Astyanax mexicanus: one gene and its partner. The protein of the gene in region 1 binds, or shares a complex with, the protein of each later gene. Links are inferred from orthologs where the notes say so. Each region holds a gene or a part of one and is shown in the gene's direction. Other genes may lie near its edges.

Region 1 (10,564 bases):
GCTCCCTTTTTTTTCCATTCATTGTGTACTCACTCTCGGGCTCCCTCTAGCGGTAAGCGGTCATAGATTACATATTCCTAAAAACACCGTTCAGGAAAAGAGTAAAAAAATAATAATAAAACAAAATTTTAGCACATTAGTATATTGCATTTAAAATGCTTTCAAGAAGAGAAAGGGTCCTAGCAGCCTTTTTATTATAAAGGATATTGAGCATCTAACAGTAATTTTAAGTCTATGATGAACAGTCTAATGTTGGGTTTACTTGAGGTAATTCTGGCCATTAGTTTTACAGTGTCATCAATAACGGAATCACCTGTATTAGCCGGATTAAATAATATAGTTGCTTCATCAATATGAATTAATGTGTAAAAAGTCTTAAATATCAACCTTGTTACCTGAATCCAGAAGTGTATTGAGTAAGCACATGAACATAACAAATGCATAACTGTTTCAGAATCAGATTTACAGAAAGTACATTGTGAAGTTACACTAATATGAAGTTTCTAAAGATATACATTACATGGGTAAATTATATGAAGTATTTCGAGATTGATTGTCTTGTTGTTTATGAAATACTGTATCTGTTTGTAGCTTGATAAGGAAAATCCTCTTTTCACTTAAGAACAGCTTTGATTAATAGTTAATGTTTTTTTTTCTGATATGTATGTACTTGCATATTTCATTTAAAACGTCAATACCTTCAGCCTTTAGGATTTTATTCTGGGGAGAACCTATCCACTTCTTATCTCCACCGTTTTATCTGATTTCTTTTTATGAACCACTAAAGGGAGCCCGCGAGTCCTTAATAAATGGGGGTAATTTGAGTTTAATGGCTAAAACTAAAACAAAAACAAACAAAATGGCTTAAAAAAAGACAAATTACCTACATATATTAATTTTTCTCTAGTAAACAGGTTTTAGGCAGTAGTAGTTTAGGCACACACACACACACAGCCTGTTATAGTACTGCTTCACACACACACACACACACACACACAGCCTGTTATAGTAGTGCTTCACACACACACACACGCACGCACACACACACCCAGAGAGTCTTATTCTATTGGCAACATTTTTCTACATGGACTGGATAAGCTGTGTGTGTTTGTGTGTGTGTGTGTGTGTGTGTGCACTTGCCCCCCAAAATGTCTGTGCACGCCACTGTTGGAATAAATGATCAAATTGATACAAATTATTATAAGAACTGCCTATTCACTAAACATCTTAAACATTGTATTAGACTTGATTTGATATAGTGTTACAGATTTAAAGCAGCTCTACTGTCACACATTGCATTAATTATGTATTATCTTTATTTCCTTTTACATTGTAAAAGCTGTATATTTATAAAATAATACCTCTTTACCTGATATTTTTGTTGAAAATAACTTCTGTTACTGGCATTCATTCCTATCACTGGAACTCACTCCTGTTATTGGCACTCAGTCTTGTTATTATGTTAAAAGTACAGGACTGAAAGTAACATGACTTTTTAGTTTTTAGCATAGAATTAGCAAAAACATGAAAAATAGCGAAATGGTGGCTATGCTAATTTCTATTTTAAAAATAAACAAGTAATATTAAAGAATTAATTTAGGTAAGAGCAGTGACATAGACCTTCTTAGTCATAGTCAATTAGATCAAATATACTGAAAAACAAATAAGGGAACTTAATGTTGTTCTTCTCATGATCTTCAGAAGAACCAACTGAGTTGACCTCCTGTTGTAGATGTGACTTGTAGAATGTTCCAGATTGTTTAGATGGGGTAATGTGTTCCGGTAACACAACTAAAATGTGTATTTTAACTTATTTATTATGGATTTATTATGATTTTTTAAAATTTGCATTCACACAAAAATGCACAATTCAAAAAATTACTTGTCTGAAGGATTTTAATAATATTTCATGGTATAATTTATAGATAGAGAGGGGACAGGTAACAAATGCTTAGTTTTTAGTGTTCTATGTTTAATTTCATATCTTACTTTTGCAATTAGGTTAACGCAGACACTGTGCTTAAAAATAAAACGCATTTTAAAGTTACTTCGTGCAACGTTTTACCATTTTAAATGTAGGATACTTGTGTTATTATACTGTTAAACTAAAACTAAAATATATTTCAGGCATAGAGCACAGCTCACGCCTGTTAGAAGTTTTATGAGTAAATATAATCCCTTATCCCTTAAATATATAATATAATCCCTTAGATCGGAATGACACGTTAAAGAAGCGCAATCTAGCGATCATTACCAGTAACAGCCTCCCTGTACGAAGACGCAGCGTTGTTTAGACCGGATTCAGAACTCTGGGAGATCAGGGGACTTTTGCGCTTTTACAGCGCTGTAGATAGATTTATTAATCTCAGGTAAGCTTATATACGTGTATAATTAAACTACAAATGAATAAAAAACGGTCTTGAATTGACTCGCTGGAGATTAACACATTGAATGTTAAAATTTTTTTAGAATCTTTAGACTCTTTCACCCCAAGAGGAGCACTGAAACAGCGCTGGGACAAGCGTGAAAATCATTGATCGCAATACACGAGAAATATGTATTTTCATATTTAATAAAAAACAGCAGATTGCAGCATCTACTTGTGTTTATTATATGCCACAATCTAATAAACGATAGAATTTAATTTAGCATTATTAGAGATGTTTAAAGGACGGAAGACCATAAAAGACGTTTAAATAGGTTTGTTTTAACGTCGCATAATAGTCTTCTAAATGTTTATTGGTGGTCCTACAAACGTTCAATAAGAACGTCCCTTGCAACTTTTTGGCGACCCTTTTTTAGTTAGCTGGGAAAAGCATTTCTTTTGTTTTATTTAAATTTTATTTATTCATAGTTATACATAGTTAAAACTAAACTGTTGTCATGTGTGAAGTAAAACGCGTTACAGCAGTAGTGAGGAATTCAGCACAGTTTGTTGTTTAGTTTTTATCACCTATAAAAATATTCAATCTATTTTTTTATTCTAATCAACATGGAAACGGATTTGTCCTCTTTATGTTAAAAAGATTTGAAGCTTTTTTTAAAAATAATAATAATTGAAATTAAAAAATAAAAAGATTCCAAAAAAAATCTAAACAAAAAAAAAATGCATTAAATTATGAAAAATACAAATAAACCGGATAGTTTTAGCAACCACAAAAAAAAAATAATAAAATTTTAAAAAGCGAAAAAACATAGTTGGCATCAGTCTACTACCTTAAAAAACAACCATAAAAAAAAACAAACAAACAAAAAACAAAACCCACAAAATAATCAAATATTAAAAAATATTTGATAAGAAGATTACATTAAAAATCATCCATAAAACAACTACCCGCAAAAAAAATCCTCAAAAAATAAATATTAAAAAACGACCAAAAAAAGTTTACATAAAAAACAACCATAAAAAAACCATCAAACCATCAAAAAAATAACCACATAAATATTTACATATTAAAAACAAAAAAATAAAAGATTACAATAAAAAAAAAGTTGGTAGATATTTTTAATCAGATTTTGGACTTGGATGTGTTTTTTTTATTTATTGTTTGTTGGCTTATTGCCAACTTTGGAACATTCATGTCAATGACATCACAGTTTAGTTTACTGCTGTGGATATAAATATGAGGTCACTGTTCGAACACTATAAAAGGCGCAGCAGCACGAAAAACTTCAGTCGTCAACGGATTTTCGCAGCGACAAGATGTGTGCAGTTCGAGGGATACTAGGAGCAGCCAGCATTGCAGCTCTAGCTATAACTGCCGGTGGATCGCTTTACTACCTGTACCGATCCAGAACACAGAAGCCGACGACAACGGAGGAGACTACAGTCACTCCATTGGAAGGAGACCCTGAAACGGTGGAGGAGAGGCAGGCTGAGCCGATGGTTGAACCTGTACTCTCCGAGACTGTGATGGAGTTGATGGAGGAAGATGGAGGAGTTGACTGCACCAAGGAAGAAGATCAGGCCACTCTCATCATGGATGGGGCATTAGAAGCTGCCAGCCTGCTACAGGTCACTGACTTAACAGAGTCAGAAGAAGCTGTGGTGACCCTTAATACAGAGCTTTGTGAGAGTGTGGTGGAAACACTGGTGGAAGATGGAGGAGTTGACTGCCCACAAGAGGAAGATCAGGCCACTCTCATCATGGATGAGGCACCAGAAGCTCTCAGCCTGCTACAGGTCACTGAATTAACAAAGTCAGAAGAAGCTGAGGTGACCCTTAATACAGAGCTTTGTGAGAGTGTGGTGGAAACACTGGTGGAAGATGGAGGAGTTGACTGCCCACAAGAGGAAGATCAGGCCACTCTCATCATGGATGAGGCACCAGAAGCTCCCAGCCTGCTACTGGGCACTGACCCAGCAGAGACTAAGGAAGCCGAGACGGAGGCTGAATGCAGACCCGAAGCTGAATACAAAAAGAAGGAGAAGAGACGAGGGAGACGAGGAAGATCACAAAAACTACGAAGACTAGGAAGACTACGAAGACGAGGAAGACTAGAAAAACGAGGAAAGAGGCTGTATAAGTAGGACAGTGTAGGATTAAGTGGTTTTGTGTCAACGCAAATTAGAAATAAATCTGCATAAATCAAAATTTCAGTGTAAGGGGTCTTTTTTAGGTCTTTTAGTCCTTTTGAAGTCTTGTATGTGAAGTACAGTAGCACACTCCAGAAAAAAATTAAAAAACAACCTCAAAAATAATTACATATGAGAAAACAAGCAAAAATAATATTACATAAAAAATCAACCACAAAAAACAAACAAAAATACCCTTAAATAAAATAAATAAATAAAAAAGGTTTACATAAAAAACAACCATAACAACCTGGCTGAAGCTGAGGTGATAGTGGGGCCTGTACTCTGCGCGATTGTGATGTAGTTGGTGGTGGAAGACGGAGGAGTTCACTGCCCCCAAAAGGAAGACCAGGCCACTCTCATTGTGGATGAGGCATCAGAAGCTGCCAAACACTGGTGGAAGATGGAGGAGTTCACTGCCCTCAGGAAGATCAGGCCTCTCACATTATGGATGAGGCATCAGATGCTTCCAACCTGCTACTGGACACTGACCCAGCAGAGACAGAGGAAGGAAACTAAGGTACAAGATGTAACTGCTACAGAAGCTGAGACAAAGGCTGATAATGAGCAACCAGGAGGTTGTTGGGGCGGAGGTGGGATGCAAACTTTCGTCACGAAAAGTAGGTAGTTAGAGCAGGTATTTATAGGGTGGTTTATTGATAAGAGGTGTAGTTAGAGCGTGGAGTTTGGGTGTGGTCCTTCTCCCAAACTTTTTTTTACATATCATTTATGGATATGAAATATCCATAGCAAGCAACAAGAGTAAGTAACATCTTCAGAAGCACGTTTACAAAATTAGCAGTCAGTTTCCATATCACACTTATATTTTAAAAGAAAATCTTTAAAAGAAAATGTTATATATTAATTTCAGCCTAATTTCTCTCACTTTGTTAGAAATTAAATATTTTAAAGGTAAAGACCACACTATACACTCTACAATACTATTCCAAAATGATATTACTTAAGGAATTGTAGCAATGTCTTTCTGAAATAATTATCTTATCAGCTTATTATTTTGCTGGTGTTTAGCTGAAAGCATACTCCCAATATAAGTATCCAGTAAATCAAGTGAGTGACAAGGAAAGTTTACGCCTCTCAGCAGTAAATTTGCACCAACTGGTATAGCATTTATCACTGTAGAGTATTATCACTGTAGAGTATTTGTCAATTTTGTATTTATTAATTAGGTCAATATAACTGTATGGTCTACTATTTGATTCAAGTAGTTGACCAACTAAAATAAAATGATTCCAGTTTTCATAAAAAAGTGACTGCTAATCTGAGCTGATTGTTGGTGAGCTGATGCTGAAGTTAAAATCAGAGCATGTTTATAGCTGGAATTAAGAAGCTTTTAAAATATGCCTGCAGTGATTAAACATTTTATTTTGTTATATGTTGATGAAATTAGTAATTTATTTCAGTTTAAAAAAATGATTTTGTTCAATTGCTCCATATTGGACTTACTCGAGAGCGCCCTCTGTTGACCTAAAACAGAAATCCCGGTATAGATTGGTAACTTAAGTGGGTAACCTCCTCTCCGTTAGACTCTTCATAAACCGGTGTTCGAGTTGTGCTTCCCTGTCATACCGTGCTACCCTAGTGTATATTTAAATGTAAAATGCCAGAAAAAGCTTCATATTTTAAAATCCGGAATCAAAATGTCAGGATATGGTTTAAACGGAATAGACGCGATTCTCTCGTGTTTTTGTATTTCTTTTTATTGCGTGCACGCGCATGGCGTTAAGAAGCACATATCGATGAGTAGCAAAATGTGTCTGAACACTGGTGTTCTGTCGAGTTGTGCTTCCCATCGATAAGCGCCTTTTAGCTGTAGTGCGCATGCGCTGTCCCACATTATTATTATTATTTTTTTTTTAACGTTTTTTCATGGTAGTTCTGTTTTCCTCCGGTTTATTAAACAACCTGAGCTCACTGACTGTTATTTTAGTGAGTGTTACAAACGTGTAATTTACAAACGTGTAATTAATAATAAAAAATATAATTTTGTTAAAAAAACAAAAAACAATTTCTAATCGCCTATATCGTCTTATCTGTGCCCTAATACAGTGGTTTTAATCTATTCAAATATCCTAAATACACTTTTGACGTTGAAGTTCTAATAACGTGATATTTTTTATTTTTAACTGTAAATATACACTAAGGTAACACTGTTTGGCAAGGTAGCACAATTTGACACAACACCGGCTCAGCTCAGCTCCGGCAGTGAGCGCAGTGCATTATGGGTGGGCACGCGGAGCGGCTGGTTGGGTGTCAGTAGTAGATTAGCTCAGTTTGTGTTTATATTGTTTAGCAACCGATCAGCCGGACTACCGACCGGCCGGACCCACCGGAGCGGCGATAGGTAAACACCGGGGTTAGTCAGCGCGTGGCTCGGTGTGTGTGTTTGGGGTCAAGGGTGTTTACAGGACGCAGGTTGGTAATGTTAAGTTAGCTGGTGCTGTAGGTGTGAGTTACAGGTTTTGGTGAGAATAAGCTCCAGGCTGCTCCCCGGCCGAACAGCCTGTAGTTTTAACCTAAAGATAAATCACTTTACAGCGGAGTAAACTACTTACAGACCACAGGATGTGCTCAAATACATAATAATCCAGCTGTACTGGGAGTAAACCTGAGTATTAATAGAGAATATTCAGTATAGATGTCTGAAATGCCAATTGGGGCAACTGACAGCCAAACACTAGCTACTAATTTAAGGTGTTTGTTTAAAGGGGCTCTAAACCCCCTGATTTTGGACTGGTATGTTACATTACTTCAAATGAACACATTTTAGCTATTAATAATAATAATAAAAAAAAATAAATAAATAAAAAAAAAAATATATATATATATATGGCTATTTGAAGCGATTCTTTTAAACTAGCACTACCTCACTTTAACTAAAGTAGGTTAACAGTGTTAATGTCTGATTTAGAAAGGTAAAACTGTATTTTCTAAACTACAGTACCAGGCAAACGTTAGTACTTCATCCAAACTATGAAGAAAAACATGGAATTATTTAGTAAACAAAAAAGTGTTAAACAGGCCAGAGTATGTTTGTTTTTTTTAGTTTCTTTAGATATTTTAGCACCTCCTGCATAAATGACAGCTTTGCACATCTTGGCTGTATTTTCCCAGTCAGTTTTATAAAGTAGAGTCACCTGGAACAATTCAGGCTTTCAGTTCAGAGATATCATTAAGAGTTAATTACTTGAATTTCTTGTCTCTTAATAAAGTGTTTGAGAGCATCAGTTAAAGTAAAGTAGTGAAGAGGTAGAGTTACAGGTATACAGTGAATAGTGAATATTTGAGTAATGTTCTAATCTGTATTATCTGAACTACTCAACTAAATAAAGAAAATAAATACTTTAAAAATAGAAGGTCAGTCAATATGATGCTTCATGTTCTTCAATGTGTCTTTTAAAGTTTTCTCAAGTGCTGTTAAAAAGATCATCAAAGATGTTATGATTAAATTGGCTCTCATCAGGGCCGTCCAAGTAAACAAAGAGCGAGAGTTTCCTCTGTTGTACAGGATAAATTCATTAGAGTTACCAGCCTCAAAAACCACAAGTTAACAGAAGCCCAGATAAGAGCACCTAAATACTTCACAGAGTATTTTTATTATATTTTTAAACACTCTTAAGTCACTACATGATTCCTTATGTGTTCTTTCATAGTCTGGATCACTTTATTGTTAATTTACTCTGTAGGGAAAAATAAGAAAGGCACTAAATAAGAAACTTTTGATTGGTACTCTTTATGTGTTTTTTTTGTCAGAATTTGTCAAAGTTGGTGTTGGAACATATATAAGGTTTAGAAAATGTGCCAAAATGTACCGGTAGTCCTATGACAATGAATAATCACTGATAAAAAAAAAAAAAACATTGAATAAACATTATTTTTGGTTACATTATTTATAATATTGTGTAATAATGATTATGAAAACAACCTTAAAACAACCTTTATTTAACATTGCCTAATAGGCAACAATAAATATCTGATGTTAAAGCAGCGTTAATTTAAAGAGTTTTAATGGTTGGGGTTCTGAAAGCAAAAGGTGCTCCCCACAAATAATAATCATTGTTATTGTAATATTATGAATTAGAATTACTTAAATGCACTGCAGAAACACAGGACAATAGAATATAAACAACATACACACTAAATGTAAATAAATTGTAATAGAAAAACATCACATATTAAACTATAATGATTAATTAATGTTGATTCAACATAAATCGATGGGCATTAATAGATCAGTTCATTAAAGATGAAAACCATGGATTTGTTATGGAAGTGTTAGATTATTTTGCTTATTTTAGGGATAATTATCTTAATGATTCTTACTTAGAATTTGTACCTTATTTTAAGTAATTTGAACTCAAAATAAACACAATCAAGCAGCAATCAGGTTATTCTAATTCTTGTGTCCAAAAACAGAGACTTTTTTTGCTTGATTTAGGTGTTACTTCACTCATTTTGAGACTTTGCCATTGCTTTTTGTAAGAAATCTTACTAAGAAAATTTGCTTACCCCATTGGCAGATATTTTTTTTTGCTTAATATACATGTATTTGTCTTAATTTGCATATATTTTGTCTAGTATTTGCCAATTGATTTTTAGCAGTGCATACTTGAACTATCTGGGATGTTACCTAAAGATGAGGTTGTGATCATGTTAGCATGACAGAGTTATTAATAAAACATAAACCATAAAGTGGAATGTTTGGACACCAGTGTTGTGACTACGACAATGTCGTAACAATGTGTTTGCTTACTAACTTTGGCAAAACAAAAGCAGTTAATTATAAATACTGCTAATTATGTTAATCTCCATGTTAAAAATAACATTTATTGGTAATTATACATTGTCATGTTTTGTGAGTTTTACTGTAGATTGTCTGTACATACAGTAATTGATGAATTACTTGCAGAGAGTCAATCAATTAGATTATTTAATGATGTAATGATAGAATTTACTGCTCTTTTCAGGTTAAGCTCATCAATGCTATGGCTGCCTCAGACGTCACCAAAATGTGGTGGAAACTGCGTAAGTACTTTAATTAAACTCTTTTCCAGAAATGAACATCCTAATCATTCCCTGGAAAAGAACAGCTATATGTCAGTTCTTTTTAGGAGAAAATATAATATATTTGAACCAGGTGTTCTGTTAAAGATCATTTTAACTGGTAGACAGAAGAGCTGGAAGACATTTGTATCACAATGTATTTGTTATTTTTATTTTGTTGGTAAAATATAATTCAGATAGCGATATGAACTGTATAAAAGTCTTTGCATGTGGTCACGCGCTGACAGAGCTAGGGGAAATGCTAAAAATATTATATCACGATATTTGAAGAAATTTTCAATAAATACATTTTTGTAGTATTCATTGCATCAGTTTGATATGAGAATCATGTTGAGCAGAGAATAATGAATTCTTAGATTATTTGGAGTTAACTAGTCATGACTGTATTGCACGGTCGTCAGCTTGTTTTTGTCCGTGCTTTTAAGGTTATTGTTAATAACTATTTGTTACATGTTACTAATAATTAACTATTATCATGAACTATCCATGTTGTAAATAACAAGAACAGTAATAATGTATTTAGTTTATTCTTTACAATTCTCCAAGTGCTACAAAGAAAGGTATTTACAAATCTCTACCTATAAATCAGAATTTCTCAATACTAATTTTATAGCTTTTAAAATTCAGTTTTAAATTGATACTATATGTTATGAGCGCCGAGTGGTCCAGTGGTCTAAAGCGCTGCCACTATGAGCAGGAGGTCGCAGGTTCGAACCCCCACTCATGCAGCTTTACCATCAAGAATCTGGTGCTCAGAGGGAGCACAATTGGCCTTGCTCCCTCCGGGTGGGTAGATGGCGCTCTATCCCCACATCACTCCTAGGGTGATGTCTGCAGCACAGGGCGTCTGTGAGCTGATGTATCAGAACCGAGTTGCTGCGTTTTCCTCCGCGTGTTAGCGCTGTG
Region 2 (10,251 bases), on another chromosome or scaffold:
AGAGTCCAGTTAACAGTTTGTTGTCCAGTTTTAATGACGTGATCCGCTCCAGCCTGTCTGAGCAACAAGTTCTTATCATGATGTTGTTCAGCACTGTCTTTCATGAACACAGCAGACAGTCCTTAAGTGTCCTAAAGTCTGTGAGAAGATGAAACAGAGGAAAAGAGTGGATGGAAAGATCTTCTGGCCTGTGTGCGACTTTACGTCGTGTAGAACAGGCATGCGCTGGCTATCTGAGGAGAGGTTCCCAGCACTTCACTCAGAGAGCTTGTTGTCTCCTAGTTCATATGCACTGGTCCCAGAACAGCAGTGAAGCTTCTCAGCCACTCAGGGTCACGTTCTCCTCACAGCTCTCATTGTTGATGAAAACACTCTGACCTTCCTGATTCCTGAAAAAGTAAAAACAACCTCCAAAGCCTTGTGTCATTGTGACAGTTAAAAAGAGAGCAAAGATCATAAGGTTATTAAGTGAATTATAAAGTGAACAGTAAAAATAATAACTGTTAATATAAATCAACATTTAATTAAACATTTAAGAATAAGAGTGTGAAGGTGTGGTTATCTCTAATCACACCCTTCAGTGGACACCCCTTGTAATAGTGTATAAAGCCCCAGTATTAAGCTGTGGAGCAGTGGAACTGTGTTCTCTGGAATGATGGTGTTCATCCAATACTTTTAAGATGATGTGAGATACGATGGACTGGTTATCATCCAACAAGATTGTTTAAGAGTCGTAAAGAGGAAAATTCTAGCTTTAAGCTAATGCTACAGTGGCGTGAACTGACCTCACAGCTGCAGAGATCGGAAGGGGACTCTCTTCGGCACAACACCAGTGAACTCCGGACGAATGTTTACAGCATGTTACAGTCAGCTGATCCAACTAATGAACTAACTGCCCTCACTGAGGAGAGCTAAAAGTGCCACAGCAGAAAATCACTAACCCAACAGCACAGAATTACCCCAGAACCAGCTTTAAACACTGTACCACGTTTTAATATTTACAGTCTTTATTATGCTGTGAAATAAATTAGAGATGTTTAGTCTTTCTGGTTCGTTGTTTTAGCACATTAATCCTTGTTAGGATTTGTGGTTATATAATAGGTTTCAGTGGAAAAACACACACATTAAGCCTTTTAACATTAAGTATTTTAGACTCTATGGTTCTAGCTTTGTGATTCTGAAGTAACTGCTGCATCACAAAGCTCCCCTCAGCGAGGGCAGATAGTTAGTTGATTAGTTGATTATTTGGGTCAGGTGTGTTGTAATTAGAATAAACCAATGACCGTAATTAAATATTAAATCTGCAAGGAAGCGCTGCTTATTATCTGCCTTTTAAAGCTCTAACACAGACTACACTGCTTAACATTACACTGCTCACTATTACTGAGAGAGTTTTCACCTGTTTAAATACTTTAATGATCCTGTGTAAGAAAAAATATTAATCCAAAACGCAATCTGGCCGGAGTTAGCTGGTGTAGTGCAGAATTGAGCCTGCAGCCATTGTCTGCCGCTGTGCTGTGACGTTACGCATTAGCTTAAAGCTAGCATTTTTCTAATTATTACCCCTAAACAATCTCAAAATTCAGAGGATCCAGTGTTGTTCAAGATGTACATATATACAGAATAAAACGTACAGGGTTCTGAACATATTTATTTACCACAGTGTTTAAAATATTCATTTTTTTCATTGACCTGAACCGCTTAGACACTGAAACCCCAACCTGGCGCAGACTACAAAATGACAACACGACTTCAGTGGTCTATTCTTGTATCACTTCTTGTATTGTGTCTAAAAGAGAGGGAGAGGGAGAGAAAGGAGCTCCCCTTGTGTGCATATTCATGAAGCACATACAAAACCAAGATTTATATTTTATAGATAGATAATCCCTATATTATATTATATATAATATAGACAGATAATCCCAAATTGGTCCGGGGGTACCTCCCTGAAATTAATTTTTGCAACTTGGAATGCCCAATCTGTGACGTTTAGTCATTAGAATGGACGTCCACAAAGATTTGGGCGAGGGTACATTACAATAGGTCTGTAACGATTAGTCGATATAATCGACAATATCGATTATTTAAATTTGTAGACTACAAATGTCATTGTCGTCTAATCATTCATTTGTAACAGAACCGCATCACACAACGTACTGGGGACAAAAGGAACTTGGTCCGTGTTTCCAAAAGTGCCCAAACACAACAGATTACATATTTATTAACTAAATATCAGTACTCTCCACGCTTAAACAACATGTGGACATTTAAATGCCTTTTAAATCTCATGTTTAGCTGTTTCTCTGTTGTTTTTAGAGATGGAGGACATGGCAGAAATAATCGTTGACTAATTGACTAATCGATAAAATGGTCATCAGATTAGTCGACTACCAAAATAATCATTGGTTGCAGCCCTACATTACAGTAGCACTTATAAAAGTGAAATAAAGTAAATTCTTAATTTTTATAAAAAAAAACAAAACAAAAAAAAACTGTAAATTGTAAAAGTGGTCACACACACACACACACACACAGTCTTAGTCACTCACCTCGTCCACAGTGTCTGCCTAAACATCTAGCCACATAGCTTATCATTGAACAATTTGTCTAGAATACATTTAAAAATAAAGAAAACTTAAAAAAAAATAAAACAAAACCCTGAATAAAAAAAAATAAAAAAAATTAAGTAGAATAACAGTTTCGGCTAACTGCTGCTCTTATAATAACATTTAACATGGCAAAAAAAATATTTTTTTTTTTACGTAAAAATTAAGTTATTTTGAGATGTGACTGCCTATTTAAAAAAAAAGCAACAGAAGTTGTTTATTTGTTAGAGTTCATGTGTAACATTTCTAACATATTTTAAGGTGTTTCACTCATTTGTTTTGTCCCACAACGTTAATCCTTTACAGCTTCAAAAACATATATTATGCAAATTAGGCGATGGCGTCATTTAGCGACTTCCTGCAACTAGGACAGCCAATAGCTACTTTCCTTACTGAGGAGTTGGCAACACTAACAGCATATTACACACAGCTGATCCAACTAATGAACTAACTGCCCTCTCTGAGGAGAACTGAACAGAAAATCACTAACCCTTAGTGATTAGATTTTTTTTTAATTTATGCATACATAAGACCTAAAACATCATAAGATTTTCACTTATGTCCCAAAATTAGACAAAGAGAACTTAGTTAAAAACACATTTAACTTAATCCCATATAACCCATTGTGTTAAACTGTGTTAATGCTGCTACACCCAGGGGCAGATTTTACCACCACGCAATTGCGTGGGGCCCCCGGGATCACTGGGGTGGGGGGTTGACATATCTTGACATCAAAATTTCACACACTCCTAAAACTGGTGGAAAGCCTTCCCAGGAGAGTTGAAGCCTAAAACATCAACAGCAGAGCTGAAACATCATATTAAACCCTATGGATTAATAATGGGTTGTCACACAAGTTCATATGAGCGAAAATGTAGGTGAGTACAAATACACTTTGTATGAAATGTATGTGTGAGAGCGGTGTTCAGGAGTCTGAGGCTGCATCCAGAACCCCCCAAACAGTTGCTCTTTTGTACTTCCGTTCCCCCTCCTCTCCTCTGTGACCCAGAAACTGATTTCATGATGCCATCTTGCCACCTGTCTAAATACCAGAGGAGAAGAAAGAAGCCAATAACACCACAGTATGCTACCCAGGAAATGTTTTATAGATTTTGGGTTGGCTTTAATTTCAATTCAATTCAGTTTTATTTATATAGAAGTTGTCACAAAGCAGCTTCACAGAGAAAAAAACAGGTCCACACCTCTTATGAGCGAGCACCACAGAAATGCCAAAAGAATTGTGGTGACAACAGTGGCAAGGAAAAACTCTCTTACATCTTTGAGGCCTCGCCCACAAAGCACCTGAGCACAGATTTTTAAATCAAATTAATTACTTATTAATTCATTTATTTTTTGACATATGTATGTGTCGAAATAATACTTAAAAACACTTGTGTAATTGTTGAACATGTATCATCATCTATGAACAAATAAAAAAATAGATAAAATGAAATAAAATTTAAGAAATAAAAAAATAAGGCTTTCTCTTTTATTTGATTGGCAAATATTTCACATAATTTCAGAAATATAGAATTTTCTCTGCAATGAACTGGAGTTTACACATCCACATTTAACAGGATGACCATATATCATATGCTGAGATTGGCTGGGCAGTGTTAGGGGAGTTGAAAATGAGCGCTGTGATTGGCTCAGTTAATAAGTAGTCAACATTCTATTAAAAGGCATCAGCTGTCCCATTTTCTCAATTACTGCTACTTCTCTCCATTCTTCCTCCTCCTCCTCTATTCCTTCACCTTCTTTCGGGGTAGGAGAGGAGGAGTAACAAAAGTTACTGGACGCAGCCCCAGTGTAGAGACTTTTATTTTGAAGATAATTCAAACAGCAGCTGCTGTACTCACCCTGCTGGTGTAGATGTGAACTGGGGCGGATTTAGAGCTGGTTTATAGGGAGCCTGTCCACTTCCCATCTCTACCGCTGTATCAGAACATTACTAAGAACCGCTAGAGGGAGCCCGCGAGTGAGGCCACACTGGATGGGGTTGAATGGAGCTAAAGGGATAAAACTAATTAAAATAGTAAAACTACTTTCTCTGAATATTCCTTTAATTGTTAAAAGTATAATAATGTATTTTCCTAAAAATAAATGAAAAGAAACATACCAACATATTTTACTTTTTTCAGTAAACAGGTTTTAGGTAGTTTAGGCGCTCATTTTTGCTATTGTGCGCTGAGTGGTTGGTGAACTGATACTGGATTTACAGTCAGATCTCTGAGTTTAAAAGCTTAATAACTGGAGTTTTACCCTTTTAACAGGCCAGGATTTTTGTCAATTGTCTGCCTGACATTACACCTCTAAATCTTGGGGATTTCTATTTAAGCATTACATAAAAAGCTTTCATGTTTGATAAGAAACATTACGGAAAAGCAGAATTGTAATTGTAATAGAAAATATAAAAAATATATTTAAGCAAACCTGCTAATGTCAAAATACAATTAATAAAATCATAAAATTGGCTGAAATCCTGAAGAGAGAAAACAGCAGCTTCTGCAAGTGCCTTGTACGAGATTTCAAAGCCCTCAAATTTTCAGAGTGTAAAAAAAACTTATTTTACTGCAGAAAATAAGGGATTTCTATCATCTCCACCTGTAGCCCGTATACAGGTCAAGGCACGTTAATATGTTAAACGCTTTAAAGAATATCTCTGCAGTACTGAAACATTTGATAATGTTCTGTGTTGGGGAAATGAGAACATTTTTCATGATACAAATACTTAAACATTTATAAACTCTGATTTTGCTCCGTTTCTCCATATAAACCCATTAATTTTGGTCTCACTCGTGAGCGCCCCCTGGTGGCTCTACAATTCCAGCAGAGACTCTTAGCTCAGTGTGTTTTCTCCTCTCCAGAGATTCTCTCCCGGGTTTACCTTCCTCCGAAACTCTGCCAACAAGTGTCTGTAGATTTATTCTGAACTTCAGTGACTAATCTCTCTCTCTCAGATGCTGAAGTTCGTGCTGGAGGTGGATTGTTCGCAGTGGTTTGTTTTTTTACAGGCTGCTTCTGTTCAGCGCTGAGACAAGTGAGTTATTTCAGCTCGATCATACTGAACTAAACTTTATATAACTTACATGATTTTGATAACCTGCTCAACCAACGATTGACTGCTCCAGTCTGAGTGGAGCCGGTGTGTTACAACTAGTGTAGCTAATAGAGAACTATAGCGCTGTAAGAGAGTTAAACGGGGAGTTTTATCAGTTTTTGGGTGTTTGTCGTGGATTTTCTTGAATTTGTGAAGTTAATCTTAAATTACTGGGCTATTTTACCGTCAGTACAGACTTAGACAGTAACTTTCTCTTCGTTAACCGAAAGGTAAGCGAGCGAATTGTATTGTACCGTGTTTTTGTGTTTGGTTTATTTGTATTGACTCTCTTGCAGTCTGGCTGTAACTAGGTTGACTAACCTACGTGTTTTTGTCGCATTAGCATTAACTTATGTTGGCAGCCATAATAGTTTGCTATGCTAAAGGTTATGCTAATGTAGCTAGTTAACTAGGTTAACTTAGCTACTAATTAACTTAACTAAATTAAGTTAGTTAACCTTGTTGACTAGCTCAGTTAATTAGTAAACGCTAGCTACATCAGTTTAACAGTCTTCAAACTATTAGCTAAGCTAACTATCGCTATGCTAGTTAGTTAGGTTAGCTAGCTAGTTGATTAGCTTAGCTGGGTTTGTTAGGTAAGTTTAGCTAACGCTACCAGCCGTAGAGTCTGTTGGAAAAAAAAATCACATAACATTAGTTAACTTAGATAATTACCCATAGTTAGCATTAGTTAATCTTATTTAAGCTTTTTTTATTGATATTTATCGTGTTTGCCAATTAGTAAACTTACTAGCTAGCGGTAGCTAACCTAATCTAAATAAAAAGTAAAAAAAAAAAAAACCTCAGTTTTATAAAAATAAGAGTTAATACACACTAACCCAAAATAGGCCATCGAGACGTGTGTCACAGACCCTTCTACAGCTGTGTACTTAAATTAGTGGTGTTTTTTTTTATTCAATGTCCAATTATCCAGTTAATCACAATAGAATTATGTGATTAATCACACTTTTTCTTCCTTAAGACTATGCGTTTGATAATGGGTACCTTAATTACCTTAAATGTGTATAAAATAATCAGTGATAGAAACACATTTGTAGTATTGGTGCCAAGCTCTTAAAAAAAATAATCCCAACAATATTCTTTGACTAAATCATGGATAAAATCATGATGGTACTTAAGATACTGTATTTTTTGGAAAGGGTTAGTAATAATGGTGTAGTGTGGTTTACACTTTTTCTTTACATTATTATATAATTCTCAGGTTAGTTTTGATGCCCTTTAACTAGAATATTATAATGTGTCGAGTTACAGAGTTTTTTAACAGCTTGAAAAGAGAAAATGTGTGTAAGCATACACTTCAGTAAAAATAAAAGGCAATATACCTTCTGAACTTAACAGTACGCGTTGCTGTTTAATGTCTTATGCGTCACCAGGCTCTGTCAATATTGTCACAAGATTAAATTGTGTTTAAAAAATAAAAAATAATAATTCAAGATTTGAACCACTCAAAAAAAAAAACATAAAAACAGTCCACTTCGAGATTAAAGTCGTAATATTACAGGATTAAAGATCAAGAGTTGCCCTAACACGCTGTCGTACAGGTTAATTACATCAGGTAACTCGTTAATGTTGACAGCCTTAGTGTAAAATTTCTTACAGCACTTTATTTGTCATTTTAACTGATGAAATCTTAGTGAAACATACCAGAAATCTTAAGAGGATCACAGGACAGTTTTCACTTTAAAAGTGTACAACTACTAAAGTACGATGTTAAAATGCCAGTTTTAAAATTGGTGTTGTCAGGATTTTTATTTAAAAATATTTAGTCATGTGCCCACAATAGGAAAAAATCATGAATGGGTTGCCTGCTGGATTTATCTGATCAGTAATCATAAATGGGTCTGAGTTCTTATGGTTTAAGTTGTGAAATGTTCAGCAGTTACAGAGAGACTAGCCTTACTGACCTATTTGTCTTTTTTATTTGATTTGAGTTTCTTTCAGTACTAGCTATTATGTTCTGGTTATGGGAGGTAATTTCACTGTGTCCTCTTCCAGAATGAGTCTTGTAGAGATCAGCGAGAATGTAAAGCTGGCCAGAGAGTACGCCCTGCTGGGTAACTACAGCTCGGCTGTGGTTTGCTACGAGGGAGTGCTGGAGCAGATCAAGAAATACTTATATTCAGTGCGAGACTCTTCTTTACAGCAGAAATGGCAACAGGTAAGACTACAGCCTCCCGGGACACTGGTATGGTAACCCCTGGAGTTACTGGAACTGTCATTACTAATTGCCCAGAGGCAAGAGTTGCTGTTTGAACTGCCATTGTGTTCCACATTCATGCAAACATTAGTATAAAGGTGAGGCAAGTGGTTTGATGTGTAAATAGTCTGATTGTTTTGAGCTTGTTTGTGTCCTGTGTTCAGGTATGGCAAGAGATCAGCGAGGAAAGAAAGCACGTGAGGGACATCATGAGGACACTGGAGAGTTTCCAGTTGGAGGCTGCCCCGTCAAAGCCGAGCAGTTTCAGCCAAGAGGATGATTTTATGCCTGCCCAGGTGGAACATAGGTATACCCATAGAATGACAGGTTATTTTTCATCATTTTGAAAACTAAGGACAGCTATGTGATGGATATATCACTAATGCTGAGTGAAGTCATGCCATTTTATCTATGACTTTAAGTCAGTGACATGGCTTATTTACAGGGGTGATAGCGTTCCGGCGCAGCGTGGCTCTATAAAAAAAATATATATATAAATAAAATAAATAAATAAATAAGTAGAGCCGGTTCAGGTATTAAGTCCCGCCTCTCAGTAGAAACAGCCAATCAGCTTGCTGTTTTTGCGGCGCGCGGAGGAAGCCCCTCCCTTGCTGTGAGATTTAGCAGCGGGATCGGACGCAGCAGCTTCAGCTGATTTAAAAACAGATCTGGATATACGGAGATTTTTCTCAAAAAAAGATAACGGTAGGCTAAACACGTAAACTGTGATGATATGTTTCTGATAGCTGGTTAAAAATACACTTCTTGTATCAGCACACAGATTAAACCCACTGTGATTAATAAACTGCAGCTGTGTTAGTGAGTTAGCTTGAGTTTGGAATTAGCTAGATAGGGAGTCAAGGTTTTAGAAAATAAATAAACTATATATGTAATGTTCAACTTGCCCTGTACCTGATCAGCTAATCACTATTTCACATATTTCACTGTCGTTATTAGTTTAGGATTACAGGAGAAAATGAATATAGCTAATTAGCTAGAAGCCAGATGTAGTGGATAGTCAGAATTTAGTACAGTACTTTATGTTTGTAGTTTAAAGCAGTTTCTTAACCCTGATCACTGAACTAAAATTGTGTTTTCCACCTGATCTTCATTTCACCTAGATTTTCACCTGATCTTGATTTTCACCTAGAGTGACAGCTGTCACAGTGAAAATTAAGTGGAGTTATTCACCTCCTTTTTTACACCTCCTGAACGGATCAGTGTTTTTGGGGCCGATTCCGATCGCCGGTCGTCTTTCACCACGATGGGCCGAGCGCCGATACCGATCTTGGGCGGGGCCAAATGCCACATTAATGCCACACAGGTGCCTGGCAAACCTGGCTGGTACAGATTCCCCTAATTACATCCACACCAAAGCAAACACTGGTAATTTACGCTGCTAGTAAATAAACATGAATGTTACTGACCAAAATAAATGCTTTTTAGGAGAGATATAAGTTCTGTGTAAATATTTATAAGACAATACCTGACAAAATCAGTTTTAATGACGTTAAATAAACATCACTGTGACAGCGCTAGTCGCAGTTTCACCGCAGTAAAGGACGAGGAGGTGAATCACTTATCTAAGCAGCCTTTACTGATTTCTGCTCCAATAACCCTTTCAATAACCTCCAATAGCCTTTAATAGTCTTCAGTAGCCTTCAACAGTCTAACCTTGCAGCCGTGGTGTGTCCACTAAACTCCGTAGTTATAAACATCATGAGGTTAGCAGCGCGCTAACTGACCTGTTTATAATGTAATCCGAGCAGTGCCTCCGTGACAACTGCTGCTGTTAGCTGCTTTGGCTGATAGGTGAACTGTAGAGAGCTGTATTATCCGTTTTTAAAACCTTTTCCTACACAGATGAACTTAAAAAAAACGTGTAAAAAAAAACGCTCCAGACTGGCTGAGCTGAGCTCTGTAGCCCGTGGCTGGGCTGTAGCTGTGACTGAGTGAAGAGAGCGGGGCTTGTGCTGCTGCTGCAGCTCCCACTAGTGGTTGGATGAGTAACTGCAGCTTCTTGTAAGTGAGCAGTTTCACCGGTTTCACCAGTTTCATCCACACACAGCTCTGATAAACTGCTTAACCCTAAACTCCTGAATCAGATCGGCTAAAATCATAAGAATATCTGCAGAACAGTGTTAATATGCAGAAGAATATACAGAACAGTGTTAATATGCAGAAGAATATACAGAACAGTGTTAATATGCAGTAGAATATACAGAACAGTGTTAATATGCAGTAGAATATGGAGAACAGTGTTAATATGCAGTAGAAAATGGAGAACAGTGTTAATATGCAGTAGAATATACAGAACAGTGTTAATA

Evidence for each region.
Region 2: the proteins of katnb1 (region 1) and katna1 are in contact, whole or in part, in a crystal structure (PDB 5OW5), measured with the Mus musculus proteins. The link is inferred for Astyanax mexicanus from reciprocal best matches to the Homo sapiens genes KATNB1 and KATNA1. Residues at the interface, in NP_083081.2 of Mus musculus: Leu485, Val486, Asp487, Glu488, Ala490, Met491, Gln493, Ile494, Arg495, Gly497, His498, Met501, Phe502, Val504, Leu505, Thr506, Arg508, His509, Leu512, Asp513, Val515, Arg516, Trp519, Thr521, Asp542, Leu543, Ile546, Gln549, Lys550, Leu553; in NP_035965.2 of Mus musculus: Leu5, Gln6, Ile8, Val9, Val12, Arg16, Ala19, Leu20, Leu21, Gly22, Tyr24, Tyr31, Tyr41, Leu50, Lys53, Trp54, Gln56, Val57, Glu60, Ile61, Val63, Glu64, Gln67, Val68, Asp70, Ile71, Thr74, Leu75, Ser77, Phe78.

Annotation. Positions count from the first base shown.
Region 1 is NC_064423.1:1,801,379-1,811,942, forward strand, and holds the start of katnb1 (katanin p80 WD40 repeat-containing subunit B1), read left to right. Parts: upstream 1-6,820; 5' UTR 6,821-6,938; exon of another isoform or gene 6,939-6,950; intron 6,951-9,561; 5' UTR 9,562-9,579; coding exon 9,580-9,619; intron 9,620-10,564.
Region 2 is NC_064408.1:47,389,787-47,400,037, reverse strand, and holds the start of katna1 (katanin p60 ATPase-containing subunit A1), read left to right. Parts: upstream 1-5,452; 5' UTR 5,453-5,646; intron 5,647-5,685; exon of another isoform or gene 5,686-5,936; intron 5,937-7,722; 5' UTR 7,723-7,723; coding exon 7,724-7,885; intron 7,886-8,088; coding exon 8,089-8,231; intron 8,232-10,251. UniProt on the Homo sapiens protein: Catalytic subunit of a complex which severs microtubules in an ATP-dependent manner. Microtubule severing may promote rapid reorganization of cellular microtubule arrays and the release of microtubules from the centrosome following nucleation.